Caenorhabditis elegans: one gene and its partner. The protein of the gene in region 2 interacts with the protein of the main gene of each other region in a pairwise test. Each region holds a gene or a part of one and is shown on either strand. Other genes may lie near its edges.

Evidence for each region.
Region 1: the proteins of gtnt-3 (region 2) and nhr-32 interact in a two-hybrid assay, tested with the Caenorhabditis elegans proteins (one large-scale study listed by BioGRID).

The regions. Positions count from the first base shown.
Region 1 is NC_003284.9:13,247,818-13,259,855, forward strand, and holds nhr-32 (Nuclear Hormone Receptor family), read left to right. Parts: upstream 1-4,146; 5' UTR 4,147-4,158; coding exon 4,159-4,210; intron 4,211-4,413; coding exon 4,414-4,560; intron 4,561-5,651; coding exon 5,652-5,806; intron 5,807-5,854; coding exon 5,855-5,932; intron 5,933-6,069; coding exon 6,070-6,336; intron 6,337-6,380; coding exon 6,381-6,464; intron 6,465-6,517; coding exon 6,518-6,609; intron 6,610-7,077; coding exon 7,078-7,345; intron 7,346-8,080; coding exon 8,081-8,182; 3' UTR 8,183-8,467; downstream 8,468-12,038. Other genes in the region: K08H2.7 (uncharacterized protein), read right to left, coding at 52-115, 358-501, 550-609; K08H2.10 (CUB domain-containing protein), read left to right, coding at 11,435-11,755.
Region 2 is NC_003283.11:7,249,286-7,259,730, reverse strand, and holds gtnt-3 (Glycosyltransferase family 92 protein), read left to right. Parts: upstream 1-4,535; 5' UTR 4,536-4,573; coding exon 4,574-4,713; intron 4,714-4,762; coding exon 4,763-4,877; intron 4,878-4,945; coding exon 4,946-5,037; intron 5,038-5,218; coding exon 5,219-5,409; intron 5,410-5,886; coding exon 5,887-5,984; intron 5,985-6,028; coding exon 6,029-6,181; intron 6,182-6,732; coding exon 6,733-6,836; intron 6,837-6,879; coding exon 6,880-7,146; intron 7,147-7,246; coding exon 7,247-7,406; 3' UTR 7,407-7,487; downstream 7,488-10,445. Other genes in the region: C13A2.12 (Trichohyalin), read right to left, coding at 1-466.

The DNA of each region.
Region 1 (12,038 bases), on a different chromosome or scaffold from region 2:
AACTGTAGTCTTTGCTACTTCTTATCAGAAATGTTGCGTTTTAAAACCCACTGCATTGACATAAAATGCCGGTCGGTGTGAAATTCGAAGGAGTTATTCGAACCAAGTTAAACCCCTGAAATAATGATGTTTCGTCATCATTTCTTACTTCAAGTCTCACTTTGGTTTTCACTCTTCGCTGCCATTAAAGTAATTTTTTTAAATTTTTTATTAATATTTATTGTATTTTTCCAATTATCAATGTTGTGTTACATTATTTTTGCAAGCAAAAACTAAGAAATCCGAATCACCCAATCTAATTTTGTATTTCTTTTGCTAAGTTGCATTTTAATTAGAAATAAATTTATCATAACTCACCACAAAAGCCCCTTGCACAATGTCACATGGCTCTGACTGATTCCCGACTCCAGCTGTGATTGTTTTATTCTCCAATCTAGACCACCAATTCCACTTCGAAGAGCAATTTTCTCTATTCAAACCTAACAGCATACTATGCTCTTGCTGTAATATGTGACTTATTTAAATTCACCGTTAACTTGAGACACTCACCGTGCGAATTCCGTATTGTATGTAAGAACCCAAAAGATCGACATTCGATAATACTGCCATTTGACAGGAAGATGCTAGAGAACAAGTATCTATTTATCGACGTAGATAATCTTTTGTACAAAGTCAGTTCAAGGACAAGAATCAATGAACACGGAGTTTTTTTCAAACAATTTTCATGCAATAAAACCATTCCCTGATTTATATACATTTACTTCTGGGATTAATTTCTTGAACCAAATAGAAAAATTTGACATATAAGCTAGACTCAGAAATCAAACGTCAAGCTGAAAAATCTAAAAGTTCAAGAGCTCAACGTTTCTAATCTCATTTTTCACAATTACAAATTTTTAGTTACTTCCCCCTAATCCAATTTTCAAGTTTCAACACTCACGATGCAGCTTGCTAAACAAAAGTTCGCATCTTTCTGGGATTGTGTAGTTCCCCGAAGTATCCTGAACTCCCGCGTACATAGAGCACAACTGGTCAGCATAAAAGGTATTGACTCCGTCAGTTTCTCCAAATTGTTTGCACACCTTAATCAGTGGCTTTTTGATTTTTTTTTTAAAGATTTGACCAGATTTTTTTTTATTTTCTGAGTGTTTTTAGGGAATTTTTGAATAGGTAATTAGTTTTACTTTTAAACATTTTATGATTCAGTCAGTTTCTCTTATTATTAGCTATTCTTCGGATCTTATAAAATCTATTATTGAAATTTCAAGCTCTATAAAATCAGCAATATTTGATAACACAATTCCCAATACCTGGCACAACGTATTATTTCCCGTACAATTGAAGCAGCTGCTAATTTGAAAGAATATTGATAAAATATGCAACACTAAGAAACTCGGCATCTTCATTGCAGATCTGAATGCTAAAATGCGGCTCAGGTCGAACTTCGATGAAAATATATAATTTAGTTTCAGCGTTACTCGGGCAACCAAATATTTTCCTCGCTATTCTAGGGAAACTCGATTATTCCTCCACGCATCATGCTCCAAAAGGTTGTTTCCTGTCCCCCACGTGTTTCTAGTAAATCTACAGAACGTGTGTAGTTTGTTGCAATTGAAGCAGGGAATTGAACGTGATGATCTTTTTGGTATGATAGTGATATTACGATTGGGTACCTTAAAAAAAAAGAAGAAAGGCAACATATGACGTTTTTTTTGAGATTCCGATGAAAATTGAGGAAGTTGATCATAAAAAGTATTTCTCGGATACTCCAATTGTAATGTAAAACTTGAAGATCTGTGAGGAAACCACTTTTATTATATCATACCCATATTTTATAAAAAATTTAAGATTGCAGTAACGCATACAACAGAACTTACTTTCTTAATTTAGTATCTTGTTGGTGTCTCCTACTTTGCGCTCATTGAAATTATGGCTACCAATCAGCGGTAAGAAAAAATTAATGACAGCGTTTTATATGTGCGACAAATACAATAAAAGTTAGACAAAAAAATCGTTTCTGGTCTTTGACAAATAAATTATCCTTATTGTTGTACGTGTCAATAGCGAAATTATTTCAATACACTCAAAAAATTGATAGCTTTACGAGTTTTAATCTTGATAAATATAACCGAGTACCTTGTGTTTCAAATTTGTGCGAGTTGGGGTATGTCGTTTTCCGACATGGTTGTTTATTCTTCAAAAATAATAATCTTGAACACGCTGAACATTTTGTAGTACGCTTACTAGTTTCACAAATTTACATTTCAGTTTTTTAAAAATATTAACTTTCAATATATTATACATGAAATTGAATTAGTTGAGGTTTCCGGTTTTTCTGTAACAGTTCGCGCCTTTTTCTTATTTCATCTTCTTATTTCATTCTCTTTCCACTTCCAAATTTCAATCCAAGAGGCACACTGGTGGTTTCCAATAGGTTTTGTTTACAAGTCAAGAAATTGCGTAGCGATAAAAAAGTGATGCGAATAAAGTGGAAAAGGAGGGCGAGAGGGAGCGGGAGAAGCGGGTGGGAGCGTGCAACGCAACATTGTAGGTAGGCTGGTGTTTGTATTATAATGTGAGATGATAGTTTCGCTTTTTGGTTTTTCTTTGTTGTTTCAGAGACGGAGAGGTTGTATCAGTTTTTGGTCATTCGTTGCGAGAAATGGGAAAACACGTGTGTGTGTGTGTGTATGTTTGTAGGCGGAGGATAAGTATGGGAAAATAGTATTCTCTACTGATGATCTTTGGTGTAAATTTAGTGTTTTTTTTTTGAGGAAAAACGATAATTTAAATAGATTTTGCATTTTATTAGAATATCCACTGATTTTCTGTGAATTTTGGAAAAACAAAAGAAAATACCAATACATGTAGCGAATCAACTGAAACACACGTTTAGTGCCAATTGATATAATATTTAAGTCGATTAAAACATGTCTTTTGAATTGCAATTCGAATTTTGTTGCTTGAATAATTGTTATAATTGTTAGTTTTGATGAATTCAAAATTTTCATATCCATCATTAAAACAGTTCTTGTAAATTTTTGTAAAACATTTTCCAATTTAGTAAATTGTCATATGTATCTAGGTATTAATATTAGAACATACATATAAAGTAACGAGGCATGTTGGTTTTCAGTAGTTTTAAGTTTTTTGGAACAAAATGTTGTGAGAGTTTATGGCCCCAACAAAGTTAAAACTTTCTGAGACACCGTATAACAATTTTCCTGTGCCCTTTCTTACACTATTGTTAGGGTGATTGGGAGCAAATTCCCATGCATTGTTCAACGTTTAACGGTTTAAATGATTTTTGCTAAAGGTATACAAACGTTAATTGAACTTGTATCAGGTTTTAGCAGGAATATATCATTTCCTGAACAAATTTTGTATCAACCTTTGCTTAAGCTTTTCTGGGAAATGCCGCCAGTTTGAAGCATTCTAAGTTACTGAGATTCCTCATTTCTTGTATTCAATAGACAATTTAAAGTTTTATTAGCATGCTGTAGGTAGGTAGTAAGTCGGCAAAAACCTTTAGATTACCATCATTTTTTACTTTAGGGCACTCAAATTTGGCGATATAATCGAGACCGCAAAGAATCAAAGATCGCGACATGATTTCTCGCATTGAGGTCACACATATTCCTAGAGTACCAGATTTGTCCTATTCATCTTACCACGAATGGACCTCATTTCTCCTCACGTTTTATCGTTCGCGTACTTCTTCCTTTTCTTGCCCTTCGTTGTCTCGTCCCCAACATTCATTCTCTGCCTCTCTTTAGTCCGGTTTGCTTGTCCTGTCAATAGCACGTGCAGTCTATTTTCTCTCTTTTCTACTCTGCCACTGCACCGTTTCACGTCTGTCACTCTCCGGCTCTTGTGTGGTCCATCATTTGTACACGAAAGAAGGGGCACCTTTTCGCCGACCACCAACTGTTGTGAAAAGGAGACCAGATGAATTCATGTGCCCCGAGGGGAATTATGTTTACGTAATTTTAAATTAAGTCTAATTACTATGGATTATGACCTGGATGAGCTCATAATATCAATACCGATTTTTATTGCAACCTTTTCTTTAGAACGAATGTTCTTCTTCATTGAAAGTTGTGAAATTTTATCCACATAAAAATTTCAAAAAATGTAATTTTCCAGAGAAGGCATTTGATGTATGCAACGAAGCTCAATCCTTCACACATTGAAATATTGAGCCATACAGGTATTCAAAGTTTTGATTTTTTTTTCGTTTTCTAATTGGCTAATAAGAAACAATATATAATTTTATACTTGTTCCGATTAACGCTCAAACTTAAAACTGAAAGAAGCTTCCATAAAAAACAATAGCCTTTAACTGAAATAATCAATTAAAAAAACTCAAAATAAAAATTTTATGTCCGAATGACTAAGCATAAAACTTTTTAGAACAATGCGTGGTGTGTGGCGACGCGGCGGACGGGTTTCATTACGGTGTTCGATCGTGTCGAGGTTGCAACGCGTTCTTTCGACGAGCGGTCACTTTCAACATGAGTTTCACATGCCGAAGAGGGGGTCGATGTCCTGTTGATAAAAGTGAGTATTTTTTCAAATCTTCTAAATTTCAAAAATTGAAAAAAAAAACGAATTCCGAATAGTTGTGATAACAGGCCTGTCATGAATAAGGTCAAGATTGTTGTTACGTGCAAAACTCTCTTCTACACATAAACACAAAATGTTTTATCAGATCGCTGACTGTTTCAGTTAGTTTCAATTGACTTTTTTTCCATTCCTTGAAGTACGAATAAAAACTGCAGAAAATTCACTACACTTTTTTTAAAAATAAAGATTTTAGAGATTATTTCAACTAATTAAAAAAAAAAGGCAGTAATAAAATTAATTCATCCAAAATTTGAAATGACTTTCGATATTCTGAAATAGCAGGAACATTTGTGTTAGATGTGAACCAAACTAGTAAAACTAGGAAAAACCCCGCGAGTCATTTCAAAAATTGGATAAGTTGCGTTTTTTAGGTAAATTTATGAGGTAACATTTTTGAAAAATTAACATAAATGTATTTTGATTGTTTAAAATTTCACCTAAAGTTTTTGGTGATTTGGCAATTATTTTGATAACTTTTGACTTTCGAAAAATGCTTAATTTTAAAAACCTGGAGTGTTTAAACACATGGTTAAGAATGATAACTCGACCATAAAACGTTTTCGGCAAAATAAAAACTTAAAATCGGTAAAACCTAAATGATTTTTCATTTTTAATGTTAATAAAACAATTCAAACTATTCTTCTAACAGTTACTTTGTGGTATTTAAAATTTTTGCAATAAGAAGGTTATTTTAAGCATTTGCCCTAATGGTATCACTTTAACTTAGAATTACAAAGATGAAAACTCAATGTTTCTTAAAATTTTTGCATTGAACTAGTTTTCGGTATTCTAGGTAAAACAATGTTGCCAACAAAAATAAACGTGTTGCTTCAAAACCCAATATAGCAACACCCGAAGTGAAAGACACTCTCGCATCACTCGTGTTTTGTTGCCATGGAAATGAGCTATAGCTTCAATCTTATGATAGTTTCAATCAAAGCAATATGATTGGAAGTTTATTTAAACTCACTTTTTTTATTGGAAAAATTACGAATGGCTTGTTTTTAAACATTAATGTTTTCCAGATGCTCGTTGTGCTTGCCGAGCTTGCAGATTAGCCAAGTGTTACGCGGTTGGGATGGATAAAAAAGCAGTTCAACCAAAACGAGAAGTGCATACCTCCAATGGATCGTTCGATCAAAATGACCCCGATTATGATCTTCGATTAGGCGGAACACGGGTATGATCTTCCTTTTGCAATTATTTTAAAAAACAGAAAGTGTTTTAGACGTCTCCAAGCTATGAGCTCAGCAGTGATATGACCTCTCCTGGCTCCGCGTTCACACCATTGAATATAAATTTAGCAGTGAGTTGTTTTTTGTTATGGTTTATATATGATAAGAGACCGAAGTTTATTCTTTTACCTAATTGAAGTTATCCTTGATATATAAATTAATTTCTTGATTTCTTCAAATTTAACATCTATTATAAACGTTTCTTTAGGATTTCACACCAGCAATTCCTCCGTCACCACCTAGCGATAGCTCCCTGATAGTCAGACAAGTATACGATTTTATGGAACAAAAGCGGCGAAGGCGAGCAATGCTTTGTGGAAGTCTAGAAGAAATATTATCCGAGCAGGAAATGACGTTACGTCACCCTGCCACGTCAGAAGACTTCACGACAATATTTCAAGCCCAAATGGTTTTAATGTTCGAATGGGTTGAAAAGTTACCCGAGTTTCGGATGCTTTGTGATCACAATGATAAGGTATACACACATGTTTCTCTAATTATGTACAATTTAAATTCCAGACAAAACTTCTACGAGCATTTGCGCTCAAATACATGCTGTTAGACAATGTTTATCACACTTATGAACTTGGCTTTCGAGATCGGGTTAGTTGAAACTGAAGATGTACATAACTGAGTAAAAATGTTTTTATTTTTAGTTAGTATTGGTCAACAACAATTATATTGTTCCCGGTGTACCGATTAATTTTAAAGGAAGTGATGTTGTGGATGAAAATCAAATGAGAGATATGTAAGTTTTTTTTTAACTTGTGAAAATCGTTTGGGAATTTAACTTTCATATTTGATAGATGAAATTTTCAAATGAACTTTTCATTCAATCAAACTTCATCTAGTCCAGCTATGTTAATGCTCTCATTGCAATTGCAACAGTTGCAACAAAGTATCAGATATTTTTTCAGCCTGTTTGCACGCATTTTTTTTCAAAATATAGTTTTTGATAAATACATTTTCTAAGCAACTTGGTTTAATGAGCTACAAAACTTGCATAATTCTTATTTGAATTGGCTAGATGTCTTTTTCGTCTCAAAATTGTTTTTTCAAATTGATGAATATATGAAATGGTTTAGCCAATTCCAATCCCATTTAATTCATATTATACATAGTTCCTCAGCTTACAGTTGCCAAATTTAACATTCAGGTCTTGTTAATAAAAGTTCTCATTTTACAGCCAACATTAATTACAATACTTTTTTTACAGAATGTTCGGCGAACCCATGCGTGCTCTAATCAATGAGCTGGTACTGCCGATTGGCAGTCAGAACATGTTATATGGAGAGATTATGACGATACGAAGAATTATGTTTTGGAATCCTGGAAACGTACAGCTATCTGAAATGGCAAAAGCGTTATCTGCCGAAGCATGCAACGTCGCTATGAAAGAATTGCAACAGTATTTAATATCTGAAGGAGTTGATGATATTGAAGCTCGGATCAAGTTTATACTTCTGTTGCTTCCATCGTTTACAGTGAGCTTTTTAGAGATAAATAGGAAAAGTTGCCAGCATAAGTCTAAAAAAAAAATCTACACGGTCAGCTATCTTTCAAGTTAAAAAAACCATAGTTGTAATTACCGTATTTCCTCTATCAGTCTTGCAGCCTCTATTAGTCTGGCACCCCTATTAGTCTTGCACCACTGCGGGCCAATCGTATTGTCTGACCAGCAATAATTCGTAGAAACTTCAACAAATTCGTCATTTTTTGGTTACATTAAACATGAAGGTGTTCAAATAATTGATAAAATCATTGAAAAGTAAATATTTTGTACTACTTAGACGGTTTCAAGACAAGTTTTGACGAGAATTGGTCAACTTTCCAATGTTATAAGGCAATTGAAAATTAGTCTTGCAGCCTCTAATAGTATTGCAGTTTCTATTAGTCTTGCACCCCTGCGGTTCGATTGAAAATTAGTCTTGCATGCAAGACTAATAGAGGAAATACGGTAATTAAATATTTCCATGTTCCCAGTCGATTCAATAACGCCTTGAAAAATTAACCAATGCTAAATTACACTAAATTAAAAAAAGAAATCATATATCAAATCAAACAATTTTACTACATTACCCACATAAAGCCCAAGATGAGCACATAAAGTTTTGCTCCGACCCCTCTAGGGACATTGTCTTTATTCAATGATGACTAAATATATGCAACTGAAATGTGTTTTTTTTTTTAGTTTCTTCATGGAATTTTTTATTTTGCAGACTCATCACAAGACAATGTACGAAATTGTGCGGTTAATTCCTTCTTTCGGGAAAATGAGTGATTGGAATCAATTTATGGACGATGTTCTCAGCGGAGTCTGATTCATCTTGTTTCTTTAAATTTAAATTTTCCTGTTTGGAGTCCCCGCCAGACCGAGCTCTAAACCCCCGTCCTATTATTCAAAATTCATAAAAATTGTTGTGACTTTTTACACCATCGAATCAAATTCTTGTCAATTCTTGCTGATATTTTTCTATTCTTTCAACCACCTGAAATCAAACAAGTCAATTTATTCCATTTCTTTCAAATACATGCCATAGTCATGGTCCTTTGTTGTACATTACTGTTAAAAAAAATCAAATACGGAAATAAAAATATTGATCAGATGTCACAGTTGTACTGTTGTTCTGAAACTTTTTTATTGAGCAAGTTCTGGTAAATGTTAGCTATTAAAAACTTGAGTGCACTGATTAATTAGGATGTGAGTTTTTGGGTCTCAAAAAAAAACATTTTGTTGTTGCTTTGCATACAATGCCGGTTAAAGTGTTTTAACTCAAAATTTTCAACACTTTAAATTACTAAAATAAGTACCATTTGAAAACAAATGAGTTTATTAGAAACTTGTAGCCATAAATCCATTGATTAAATTTTTTTCATTAAACGTTTAACGCAACTTTACCAAGCTTAGTACAAATAAAAAAGCGCCAATTGAGATTTAATTTAATTAAACTTTCAGTAATAAAAAAGGTCAAACATATCATTATAGAACGGTTTAAATAAACTTGATTTTTTGAAATTAAAAATTTATTTTTGGTAATATGCGAAGTTCATGAAAAATATGGAGAAAACCTAAAATTGGTACTTGTGTATTACATGCCCTCATTTTCAAATTAAATTAAATTGTCATTAATTTCTCCAATTAAAATAAACGTGATATACATTATTCCTCTTTAGGCTTAGAAAATGTTATTTCCTAAGCCTAAAAATACAAATTGTGGTTCACGTTTTCATTTTTCATGGCTTAAAAAATTACTATTAAAATGAGGGCATGTAATACACAAGTACCCTAAAATTTAACCCCATTTTCGAAAAAGATTTGGTTATTTGAGCACAAGTGAAGTGGTTTCAAAATACTTCTCTAACTTACTCTTTCTTAAAAAAAAGACATTTTACGATTTTTTTTTGTGACTTTTGGAATTTAGTTACAGTCAATAAAATAATTAGTTTTGATTTACTTAATTAAATGAACTTAATGAATATAAACAATTAGAGCAAATACGGGACATCTTTTTGTAATATAGCGATAAGTTGTTGAGAATATATATATGTGCATTTATATGATTTGAAAGTTTTTCGAAAACTAATAAAGTTTTGGTAGCTCAATTCATACTAACTAATCATTAAAACATTCAATTAGATACATTGCAAAAATTATGGGCATACATATAAAGAAGTAAATCAAAATTTTCACTTTTAAGATAAGAAACTCAGAATACAACCATTGATAACGATTAAGTTGAAAAAATAAGGTTGTAATCATATTTTTGTCTCATTAAATTTTTTTTCTCAGTTCTAGGTCACTTTAAAACTTGCACCGTTTTTTAAAGATTTTTTTTCAGTTTCCAATTTTCATCTGATTCTTCATAAATCTCTACCTCTTTTAATTTTTATTTAAACCTCAGTGAAGTGAAGTACTGTTCAATTATAGTTTTATTCGATAAACCAAGTTTCTCACTACAAAAAACTTTTTTAAGAGCCGGGTGTCTGGTGAACTGCCAATCATCATCAAATCTATCTTTTGACTTATCGTTTTTTTGATTGCCCTTTTTGCCCATTTTATGGTGCACGAAATCGTTTCTTCAAGTGATAAAAAAGATAATTTTATCTGATAAACCATCATTCTGGTCAATTTACCTCCGATAATACCCACCGAGACAGCTTGTTCCGCAACCGATTTCTGGTGAATAGGGACATTGTACCTTGACTGGGGTAAGTGAAAATAGATCTTTTTCACACTTATTTTTTTAGGTGAGATATCAAAGATATTGATAAGCACGCAAATTTTACATTATTGCTTGAGATAACTAATTTAAAAAATAAGAAAACCGTAAGTTATGGTGATGAAAGTTACACTTTTGATCAAAACTACTATTGTCACTTCTTTAAAAACTTTTTTTTGTTATAAGTTACACATTTTGTTTTCAAAGCTTTTCCAAACATTTGTTTTTGAATTTTGTAGTTTCAGTGACTTCATATCTTGATAATATTATTGCACAAGGTTTAGTCTAAACCCAATATATCTTTCTGAATCCTGATATTTTTTTGAATGTTTACACGGCTTATCGTTGAAAAAAAAAATTCGCTCGGGGCTGAAAACGATGCTGCAGATCCATTGTTTCCTACAGGCTGTAAAACGATGCGTCATTTTTCAAATCTATTTTATGACACATAAAATGTATTTCTAGAAATCTCCAACCGGAAACTGAAAACTTTAATATCGCAAAAACAGGTGCACTTATAAGAATAAGAAACGGTTCCGATAAACGGATCACTTTTTTTTTCTGAACAAAAAATGAATCACACTTTTTCCGTTTCATTCTGGCTAACAATGCTAGGCTAATACTTGTAGAATGTTTAATCTAGACTAATGGAGAAAATTAGTAGCTACTAGTAGCGAAAAAAACTTCAGAATTCGAATCCACGAGGATTATTTAAATAATTGTAAAACAAAATTTCTTATTAAAAAAGGTCATATTATGAAAATCGGATTATTAACATGGTGATCGTTTTTTCCGACTTTAGAACTAAAGCTTTTTTTTAATTCTTAATTAACTATCCTTTTTGAGAAAAACATACGCAAGTCAACGTTCTCAATTTGTTAAACAATGTAAGTGTTTACCAAGTTGCCAAAAGAGTTGTATACAATGGTTTTCAATCTTAAAAATACTTATACTTTTAAACTAAATTTCAATTTCTTCTTTGATTGAAAAATTTCTAAGTTTCCATTTTGATATCATAAAGTGATCAGTATTTTTTTTTTGTATTACGGGAATCACTTTGCCAGCCCCCCCCCCCCCCCCCATCCTTCAATGCCCTTCAACAGCTGACCTTTATGGAATAACGCAATAGTAACATAAATGTTGGCTAGCTGTTGCCTTAGGTGTTTCTAATTACATGTAATGAAAACGCCAATTCATATAACCCCAATATGGTTTGCGACCTGTATAATATTCCTCAAACACATTTATCACTAACGTCAGTATCCAAAAATATTTTTTGTATCGTGTCGTCTTCTCCATCTGCCTTCCACCAGCTGCCAAAAATTCCTAAAATTTAATTCAATGTTTCAGAAAATGATTGTTCGCCACCTCTACTTTTTGTTTTCATCCGTCACGTTGAGCTATTCATTAATCGATTGTTCCCATGAAGATACATGTTTTGGTGAACCACCTGATTGCGATCCGAATACTTCTTGCACGACACTCTTCTATTTTGACGCTACGGGAAACTTGCATCTCTATCTACGCAATTTCACCGACTCTAACGGTTACGCTGCATTTCCAGTTAATCGGCTACCGGAGGATATCACGGAGTATTTCATTTGTCTACCACACCAGGGAAAACGTGTAAGCGGGCATACCGAACTTGGCGAGTTAGTGCAAATTTCTGATAGGGTTAGTTTTTTTTTTTAATTAATTTTAATTTTTGAATAACTTCATCTTTTTTTTCACTCTTCCATTTTGAACCTCACCTAAAACAAAACCATTCAATTTTTCTATTATTTTGAAATAATTAACGATTCTATTAAATTTCTGCGTACAACTTGATTTTTTGAATTTTTTAATTGCCAATTAGTACCCCGTCGCGAAGATGTCCGAAAATAAGTATGGTAGATCATAACTTAAAACAATACAGATACTATTTTCATTGATTTGATTGAGAAAATTCTCAAATCAT
Region 2 (10,445 bases):
CATGCTGTCTCTTGAGAGCGTTCAATCTAGCTAGAGCCTTCTTCTTGTGGGCAGCAACAAGATGCTTTCTCTTGAGAGCGTTCAATCTAGCTAGAGCCTTCTTCTTGTGGGCAGCAACAAGATGCTTTCTCTTGAGAGCGTTCAATCTAGCTAGAGCTTTCTTCTGGTGAGCAGCAGCAGCAGCTCTTCTTGAAGCAACGCTTCTCTTAACAATAACTTTTTCGGTGTCAGCATATATGGTCTTTGGCTCATCAGATCCTGCCTCTGCCAAAGTCTTCTCCTCGGTATCATTAGACTCAGCCGTTTGTACTCCAGTTTCTTCTTTCTCTGAAGTCTTCTCCTCGATGGCAACAGTTGGGAGCTTTTCTAGTTCAGCATCTCTCTTCTCACGAACGTTGGTTGAGAATCCTTGGACAGTAACCGACAAAGCGGTGAATGCAAGCAATGAATAGAAAATGAACTTCATTATGAGATTGGTTGTTGAAGAAACTATTCTGCTAGCCTTGTAATATATATGTACTAAAGATGGGCGGCAACTTAAACCAGTATCAGGAAATTGTTGTTTTCTTCGATTATGTTGGCATTTTCTGATGCATAAGACTGATATAATCAAATATCCGATTGTATCTGGTCCTGGTCAAAATGTTTTTCCAGTGTTGGAACAGTATGGTAAATTTCAGGCTTACTAGAAGACCATGTTAGGCGGTGATGGAATTCTAGAATGAATATAATTGTCTTTTAAATCTGAAATAACGTTTGATTTGTTTCAGATAGAATCGAATGATTCTAACATTTGGAATAGTGAACTTGACATTTTTCACAGAAATAAACAAATAACCTACTTTTGATATCACCGTGGCGTTGAGCTCATGATACTTAGCATAGCTTGTAAGTATGTTCTTCGAGTTCTTCTTCATATACATATGTACGTCTTCTAATTAATTCCTTGGATATAGGTATGTCGTATGAAGTTTTTTTCACATTTTGAAAGCGTATCATCCATGCAAAAATTGTACATGGATCTGAGCATCATTAAAAAATATACGAGTTATTTATTTTTATTTTTCAAAATTGTGTCATCTACATAGTTTCATTCAAAATTCAAATATCAATTTTTGGATCCCGAAGTATAAATGGCCCTTGACAAGGTAATCTACTTAATTTTTCTCCTGGTCCTTTTGACTACATAACAAAAGTAAACATAGTTAGTTATTTTGTAAACTTGCAAGATAATTCGAGTTCACTAACACTAATAGAGACTGCAAAACAACTGGAGCCTGTTGTCAACTGTGTTTTTGGATACAATACTCAGAGATTCGTCATATGTATTACTAGAGAGTGCACAGTAGTCCGTGACTTTATCCTTTTCAATTTTCATCTATAAATGCATTAACAGGTTTTTGTTACAATAACGGAAATCTTCCGGTTTAATTTTCATTTAAAAATTATAACTCCCAACAAGGACTAATCATTGCATGAAGTTAATGTGGGCTGCGCAGTGCAAAATGTATGTACTGTACTGTACTGTACTAAATGTACTGGAATAGTCAATACTAATGAATATTATCTAATTAGAGAAGGGGTAAGAAAGCCTAGCAAGCAGGCTTTTGTCAGAAATTTATGATTTTCAGTGCGATTTCGACCATAGAATAATACATTTGTTCTAACATAAGATAATTATTTTGCTGAAGGAAATTTTTTGATTCTTTGAGATTCAAAAATTGTAATAATAGTTTTGAATGTTGAATGCATTTGAGATATAAGATGGTTTTATGCTAGACTTTGCAATACGGTCAGATAGATGAACATCTGATACAAGCTTGCTGAAACAACGCCAAGCTGTCTCACATGTTCCGTGTCTTCTATACAAATGCATGTTCTTCGAATTTGAGATCTCCAAACTAGTATCCTCCCGTGAAACAATTTAGTGACGTCTTTATTCCAGCGTTAAAAATCTTTTTACAGCGTTGTATGCAGAAAAGATCTCAAGCCATGTTTTAAGAACACGGCAGTTTCTTATCATTTCCTGTATTTTGTAATCAAAAATTATAAACCAATTATTTGTGAAGTTTTTGTACGGACAATCAATTTGCCTATATAATATATTATAATTCCTGCCTTTATATTGCAGATAATTTCTTCAACTTCTTCGGCAAAGGATTTTACACCGGTGTTTCAGTGGTGTACTTTTTAAATGTCGAAAACCTCTCCAGACTCAGCATGTGCCTATTCTCATTATTCATATGTTTACGCCTCTGTAGATGACTGAAACTAAATTATACTTGACATATGTACATACTTGAAAAATAGATGGTAATATAAGCAAAGTTATGGGCTCATCGGTTAATAGACGTATTACACTTTGATAGTACTACTAATAAGTCTAAGAAGATTCAAAAAAACAAACATTTTTCGTTGAAATTACATTATGCTTTAACTGAAAAATGATTCATTAAAATTTTACCATTTCGAGCAAATATGCTCAAAATGGATATTCACTTTGCTGGAGCTCCTTGTTGCAGAATCAATCAGTGAGCATTGATTTTATTAGGGTTTTATTAGCCAGGTACATTATTGTGGTCGGCAAATGGACTGTCAGAATCCGATCTGTTAACAACAACAGCTAGTTTTCTCTATAAAATGGCTTAATGGTTACCGCCAGGGTAACTAAATGAGATAGAACAAGTGAGCGACGACAACGGAGACTAAACGCTGCAAAACAAGAACTGAATTGTTGATTAACATGCCATAAGTATTATTCAATCTTGCATATGTTTTTCTAGTGTCAGTACAGATAGAACAACAACCAACATAGGAACTTAAAACAGTTAATAAAAAAGTTTAAAATAAATACATACAAATTTCGAAAAAAATTATCAAAAACTAAAAATACATATTTGTTTTCAGGCATTTCATAATTTCAAGACTACATTACTCATTTCAAGCTAAAAGTCAAATAGTTTTTTGAATGGGAAAGGGTTTACAGATCTCAACTTTGACAACTCGTATAATTTCAGAAAGACAATATCTCAAAAAATTTATCAACTACGTTAATGCTTAACGGTAGAGTAGAGTCTATTTTGTTTTGACAGAAAATGACAGGATTCACAAAATAGAGAAATGACAAAAATGAACGACAGAAAATAGGCCCTAATGACCGAACATTACTGTAATTTTTTTTTCAAAATATTCTAAATTTTTTAAAGATTTTTTCAATTTTTCAAAAAATCAAAGAAACGACCGAATTAAATTTGAATTCTCGCGCAAATGGGTGTCATAATTTTTGATGTTTTTGCGTTTCCTGGCTCAATTCGTCCGTTTTTCTTGATTTTTTTTCTATTTTCTGTCATTTAAAACAAAACATTTTGACTGTACACCACCTTTAAAGTGAAATTTAAAAAAAAACATTGCCTGGTTAAAATCCGTGTTTTTATCTTTTTGTGTTGAAGATCAATCAAAAGAAAGCAAGTTTTTGAGGTAAAGGCAAAAAGTTTATCTTACTTATTAAGCTATGCTGGTCGCGCGTAAAGATATGTGTACGAGTTACTAAGACAGTTCGGTCCATTGTTTTCCAACAATAGTAACGGATAAAGAGTCAAGCTTATCGAAACGTCAGTTTGGTTCAATGTTAAATAATATCAGGAATTCATAAAAATCAAAACATTTTATTACAAGCAATTCTTTCGATTCACTTTTTCAGAAAAAATGTAACTTAATCACAACAGCTTAAGTTGATGTTAACCTCGCATATATAAACTATTCTGAACTTCACCACACGTTTTCAAAATAGTGTGGTTTTGGCAGAGTATCAAAAAAATTGAGCTGCGATTAAATCAATTTTATGATGAAACATTTACAAAATATACCCTCGAAACACCGAGCACAATTTCGCATAAAAACTATGCGGCCAAGGAAATCAATTTTCGATGCACCTAATGTAAGGATCTGTTGTCGCCAGACAGGAGTTTTCATCAAAAATGTTTTATGTAATTTTGAAACAAAATATTGTGTTTCTTTTGTCATTCTGTGAAATTTTTACAAATTACTCTGAAGTTTTCATGACAATTCAAGCATTAATCGTTGTTTTGGAACCGATTTTTAATTTGATGGCTGAAATATGATTGCAACAATAGATCTTGAAAATTTATGCTACAAAAGTGAATTTCAAAGACAATGTTCAAAGACGCCAACTTAAAAGTGCTAACGGAGCAATATATTCTCTTCATTCTTTAACGTAATCAAACAGACTCCAGTAGTGATTTCATATCATTGTTCGCCTATAGTTTGTGTGTCTTGTTTGCTTACGCAGGAGTTTCAATACTTTTAATACTTCTAGTTTAACGGAAGGTCTACAAATGTTTCATACCCCCTTCATTTCACGTTTTGTTATTCTTACTTTTCAAATAATTTAAAAAACTATATAAATAATTTATAAACTATAAAGCTGTGAATGTATCTGCTCTGATTTTAATCTCCCCTTTCGCTTTACAAGCTTTGTTAATCGAGATAAAATCCTCATCCCGCATTTGTGGCGTTTCTCCACTGTGTTGAATTACTCGTATTAGCTAAGAAAATGTTTAATAACTTCAAAAAAATTGTAATACTCTGTTTAAGATTAATTATTTTTTGTTTCGGCCTGGGAATCATTTTCAATCAAATTTCTCTGCTTATTAATGTTTTTAAAGAGGCAAATCACTCATTTTCCATTCATTTGTGAGAAAACTGAAATATCATTTCGAAATTATAACTTTTTATATCTTAGATATTCTCATAAAAACAAGGATTGTGTTGTGCCAACATGGAACAGAGTTACTTCGAAAGATGTACCATACTCAGAAGATTTCAAAAAATGGGCCGCAGTGCGGATTGGTGCTTTTGTAAGTTTTATCTTTTATATCCTGGCCAACCTTCAAATAAGCTTGAATTTTTTGTAAAACTCTTTCAGAGGCACATCAAAGATGCTCAAGTCCGTCTTCTATCTTCATTTGTGTATTCTGATCAAATTTCAATAGTTACAACGTCACAAAACATTGATAAGTATGTGAGGAAATAATAACGTTTGCTTTTTTTGACAAAGTATTATCAAAGGCATTAACAACGATGAAAAGAAGAGACAAAGATCTCAGTTTTGGAATTACAAAAATTGAAGGTCGTTGTCGAAGACTTTGAGCGTTATTCTCCTAATATACTTCTTAACGTTTGTTTCAGCTTTTTTCAGCAAAAAGGTGACTTGTCGATACTACGACTGTAATCGTGATGAAGTTCCTTACTCTTCTTTCGACACTGTGGTAGTTCCTATGACAGTAATCACATGTCCCAGAAGATATGGCGCCGAGTTTGTAAGCGTTACTTTTGATGAGAATGAAACCCCTCATGAGCCGATCCCATTGACCTTTAGAATTTACGATGGTAAGATACGTATATACGTCTTAGGGTTTTCAATTTTTTATTATTTTTTGAAAGTTTATAACTGAAAATCTAAATTTTATAGAGGAAAAGAATGAAGTAACTTCGAATATAAAGTTTGAACGGTTTTTTATGAACTTTTAGAACAAATTGAAAAAAAGCTAATGAATATCTCGGAAGTTTCCGAAACATTATATAATTTTAAACTATTTATAATTTTATTTTTTTCAACCAAAAGTTCTGCCAAAAAATTTTAGCTATGTCCGCTGGTGTTTTCCATTTCCCTTTTTCGGATTACTCAAAAAGTCATCAAACCGTCCATCTCAAATAGTAGACAAATAATATAATAAACGATTCATTATATGAAACCGGATGTTTGGTTTGCGGGTGCTCTTTTCAATTTTTATTTTGCGGCACAAATTTTGAGTATCGGGACCAATGTTCAGTTATTCAGTATATCATGAACAATTTTTCGTTAAGAGCCAATTCATGAGCTGTCTGTTTGTGTTGGCCCATTGTACGGAAAAAAGAGCAAATGGTTGGAAATTGTAGAATATGTGGAGCATTATAAACTTGTGGTAGGTTGCTCATATTTGAAATAGAAGCAATAGTTCTGATTAAGGGTGTTTCATATTTCTACTTCACTCTGTTCAGTATAAACGAATATGATCGAACAGTCGTGGACTACTATGCAAAGTTCGGATATGCCGAGTACACAACTTATATTACAGAATATCAAGAATTAGGATGGATGTTTCACTTGATACAAACACAGGTTAAATTTTATATGTTTTAATTGTGTAAGAAACCTTTTCAACGCTGGCAATAATTCAAATTTACAAGGGAAATAATTGAGTTACGAGAATGAGACGCCGAGCGCATTCCGGTTTGTGACATTTCAATGAACAAAAAATTCAATCTATGTACAAGGGATGGGCGACGAATCGGTTTTTTCGGCAAACGGCAAATTTTCAGCAAATTTGGTCGCAACTGTTAACATACATTTCTCTGCAAAGTTTACATTTGTTCCGACCATTTTTGACTTGTCAAAGAACTGAATGTTCGGAGAAAAAAAATTTGTTAGGAAACCAAAAAATGTTTGTCTGTAAACGAAAACAAAAAACCCGCCATTTAAGTCTACTTAAGTGTCTACCGCATACCTGTCTTTCATTAGATCAAGCTAAGCTTATTTTATACCTGCCAACGTGTCAAATAATGTGCATGCCAGCTTATGACCAATCTTCTTCCAAATGAAAAAAGTAACTCCTGTTATCTCGTTGGGTGTTTCTTAAATTCATGACTTATCTATGTTATAACTAGTTATAGGATTGCCACCATCGAAGCCGACATCATTCAAAATGGGTGATTAACGTTGATATTGACGAACGAATAATTTACACAGGCTCCAACGATATACTTTATTTTTTGAGGCAAGACTTTTCAAATCTGAGCAAAGCGTTATAATCAATTCAGGTCAATGCCAGCGTCAATTGGAGAACTCAGCATTACGGCAAATCGTATTCTAACAACCGGAACAATTCCGGAAAAACTGAAAAATTTTGCAAATTTACAGTCAGAATTGACGTTTCTCAAGTATAACAAGACCACAGAAGTCAGCTGGTACAATTTCAAAGGAATTATACGCCCGGATTTAGTATATGTTTTGTTTTATCACTGGTCTTTTCGACAAAAGCCGAATGTTCATGTTATTTCGATACCTAAACAAATTATTCATTTAAGGTACAACATTATCTTTATTTAAATTTTGGAATTGTTTCTGTTCCTTAGGCTTGGTCCCAAAAACTCACTTGAAACGAAAATTAGCTATATGACTTTTCAGGCATTATCGAAGTGTTGATCAAAATTCGTTAAATGGAAATTGGATGGAATTCTACAATGGATCCTTGAAAGAAACTAGGCTGGCTCCAGATTTCGAACAACAATTAATCAAAAACGTGAAAGAAAAAGTGAAATATGTTTACGATCAACGATGGGTTTAATGTGAAGAAACATCGGAAACAATTACCAAACTGTCTAATTAGCAAGCATGTTTTAGATTGAAAATGAATTTTTTGAAGGCATTATTTTAGATGGCTGTCTATAATAGTTGGACGGGTGGTTTTGGGGCATTTTGGCCAGATTTTTGTTCTTTTTTTTTTGAAAATTTCAGGAAAAGGGTTTTGACGTTCAGAAAATTACGTCGTTAGTAGTTTTTCGGAAAAAGGTATAGAAATGGAGTGAAAAATAAAAATTAGGTTAACAATAAAAGTTGGGCGTACTGTAGTTATGCACTTTTTAAAATACAAATAATGTACTAATTTTTACAAAAAAGCCGAAAAACTGGCAAACATCAGGGTTTTTCCTAAATTAAGCTTACATTATCAATGAATATTACTGGTTCTATAAGCCAGTGCACGTAGGTCCTCATCCCACTCGCAGAAAAGTAATCAACCACTAAATAAACTTTCGGTTTTATATCCAAAGCAGTTGACTTCTAAATTCTTATTCCTGATAGTCATGTCCATACGGATAATAATTTTCACAGTTATTGCTTTTCTATACCACACAGAATCATGTATCCGGATGATACCACCGGATTATGTTGGCTTTCCTGCCACGCTATCAGATAATACAGATCCTGTAATAACTACAATTTCGAAAACAACAACAACAGCTCCGTAAGTCAAGTTATTCTTTGAGCTATTCAGACACATGAAAAAAAAACAAAACGCGTTCAGTCGGCGACTGAAAATTCCACAGACTAACAGTTGAACAAATTTTATTCAATCTTTGTCCTCGGTTATGATTTGACACTCGCCCTTCTGTCGATTTGCCATTCGATTTGCAAAAAAATCGAAAGGTTTCATCCACCGTGACAAAAAAATAGAAGTTTCGTTTTTAGGAAATATGGAAAAAAATAAATTGTGTTTTTCCTACATTTTCTTAACTCTCGAAGATACAACAATTTACACTTAAGAAATGACAAACTCGTAGAAAAAATACACTTACAAAACCCTTTTTTTTTCAAAATTTCAGAGCATCTAAAGTGTTGAACCATTTGGGACTTGCACCTTTGACGGAGAGGCCTAGCCTGTACTGGAGCGTGGTTATGAGGCTCTGTTGTTTGAGGTGAATAAAAAATAGTTTATTAGCGTGTCTAGAGCCAAAAACCGCCAGTTATTTTGCTTACTGTTAGTCATAATTACATATTATTTTAGTAATAGTCTGTTTCTTTCTCATGAATAACATCCACATATCAAATTAAATTAAATGTCTAGTGGTTTTCCTGTCTTTACTTCCTGCTCATTTTGATTTTTTTTTCGGATACTCGGAACAATTCTGAAAATGTCACAATGCGACAAGGAATCCCAAGAATATTATCCTACCTTCCAGAATTCAACAGCTATTAGTTTGTGCCAATTCCAAGAAAATTTTCTGTAGGTTTATTTTTTTAGCCGACAGAGGACAAAACATGGGGAAAAATGAAAAAAAATTATTGACAAAAAAAACCGTAAAACTTTGTGATCCCTCTCAATCAAAAGAAAGAAAAAATTTCGTACCGTCATTTCAGGGTTTTTTTGCTTAAATTTTTATGATAGTACAATCTAAAAATTTCAAATGAGACATATCTCGTTGCAAAATCCGGAGGTAAACTGACTTCCTTTCCTTGTGAGAAAATTTCCAAGACGAACCTTCTAATGGTTGAGTATAAGGGTCTAGTTCTTAATTTTTAGCCACCATCATTCAATAGTAGTTTGCGAAGTTTTTATTAATTTCTTGAACTTGAACATTTCCACCAATCCCCATACTGCAACCTGTAAAGTTTAATGGCAGTGAAGATAATCTCGTTTTGGAGGGATGGTTTTATTTCGATGGTTTTATTTTATAATTGGTCAGTAAGTGCAAGCACTTGTCGCTGCAGTTCTTCGATTTAGCGCCACCCCGAATAACAAACGGTTTTGCACTTTTTCTAAAATCTTGTTTGTTGCAAAATACAGAGAATAGAAACAAAAAGCGAGGTCACTAAATGTGTGATTCAAACAATCATATACCGTAATCCGTTCCATCAAAAGTGATCAAACTTCGCTATTGTGAACCTTTCGTTCATGTACAGAAAACAGTAAAGTGTTCCCAACAATATAATGGATGCACTGAAACACTCAATTTCATAAAAACTTTTAAAATATCTTAAAAACGAACGTGAATTTACTCGGCAATTTGGTTTTCCTATTTTTCGCACTTCTTCACCTTTCTTTCGCACTTCCACTGCTATATTTCGCCGATATAATCTAGGCAAAAATAGTGCGAAAGATAGGTGAAAAAAGGCGGAGAGAAAGGAGAACCAAACTGCCGAGTTAATGCTCAGTGTGAGCTCGGAGTGAGAGGTGAATCATCTCGAAATGATATTAAAGTTATATGTATGTTCTAGGACTAACGGTTTTATGAACGGAAAATAATATTCTCTGCTGGATTAAAGTCAGTAACACAATTATTTATGTTTTTGTTCAAACTTAAGGGAAAATTGAAGAAATTTTTTTCAATGACCATAATTAACATGGTTTAAAACACGAAAAAACTATAAAACTATCTTGGTCCTTTTTTAAAGACGGGGTCCCAGAGTTTTCTATTTTATTTTTTGCAGCTATATTATATAAGCTATGTAATAAAGCTATATAAGCTATATAAAATTATTTGTGATAACAGTTTTATTGATCCATGAGCCTTTTTTAACAGTTTTGTTAAGAAATCATTTTTTGTCATTCTGGGAAACATTCGTCAATTTATCTCAAGGTTGCAGATTTTATGGCACCATGCATTTTTATGCACATTTCTATAATTAATTGTAACTCTGTAGATATCATGAATAAAATAAGTATATTTTTGACATTTGCAGGTCATACGTCCTACATTCAAGTATCGACAGAAGTTCTATGAAGTATCTGAAGCTTCAACTTTTCTAAAATATATTATGTGCTTCGGAGTAATTTTAAAAATGCATTTATTTATCGTGTGCTTTCGTTGTGTGTGGAATTAACTAC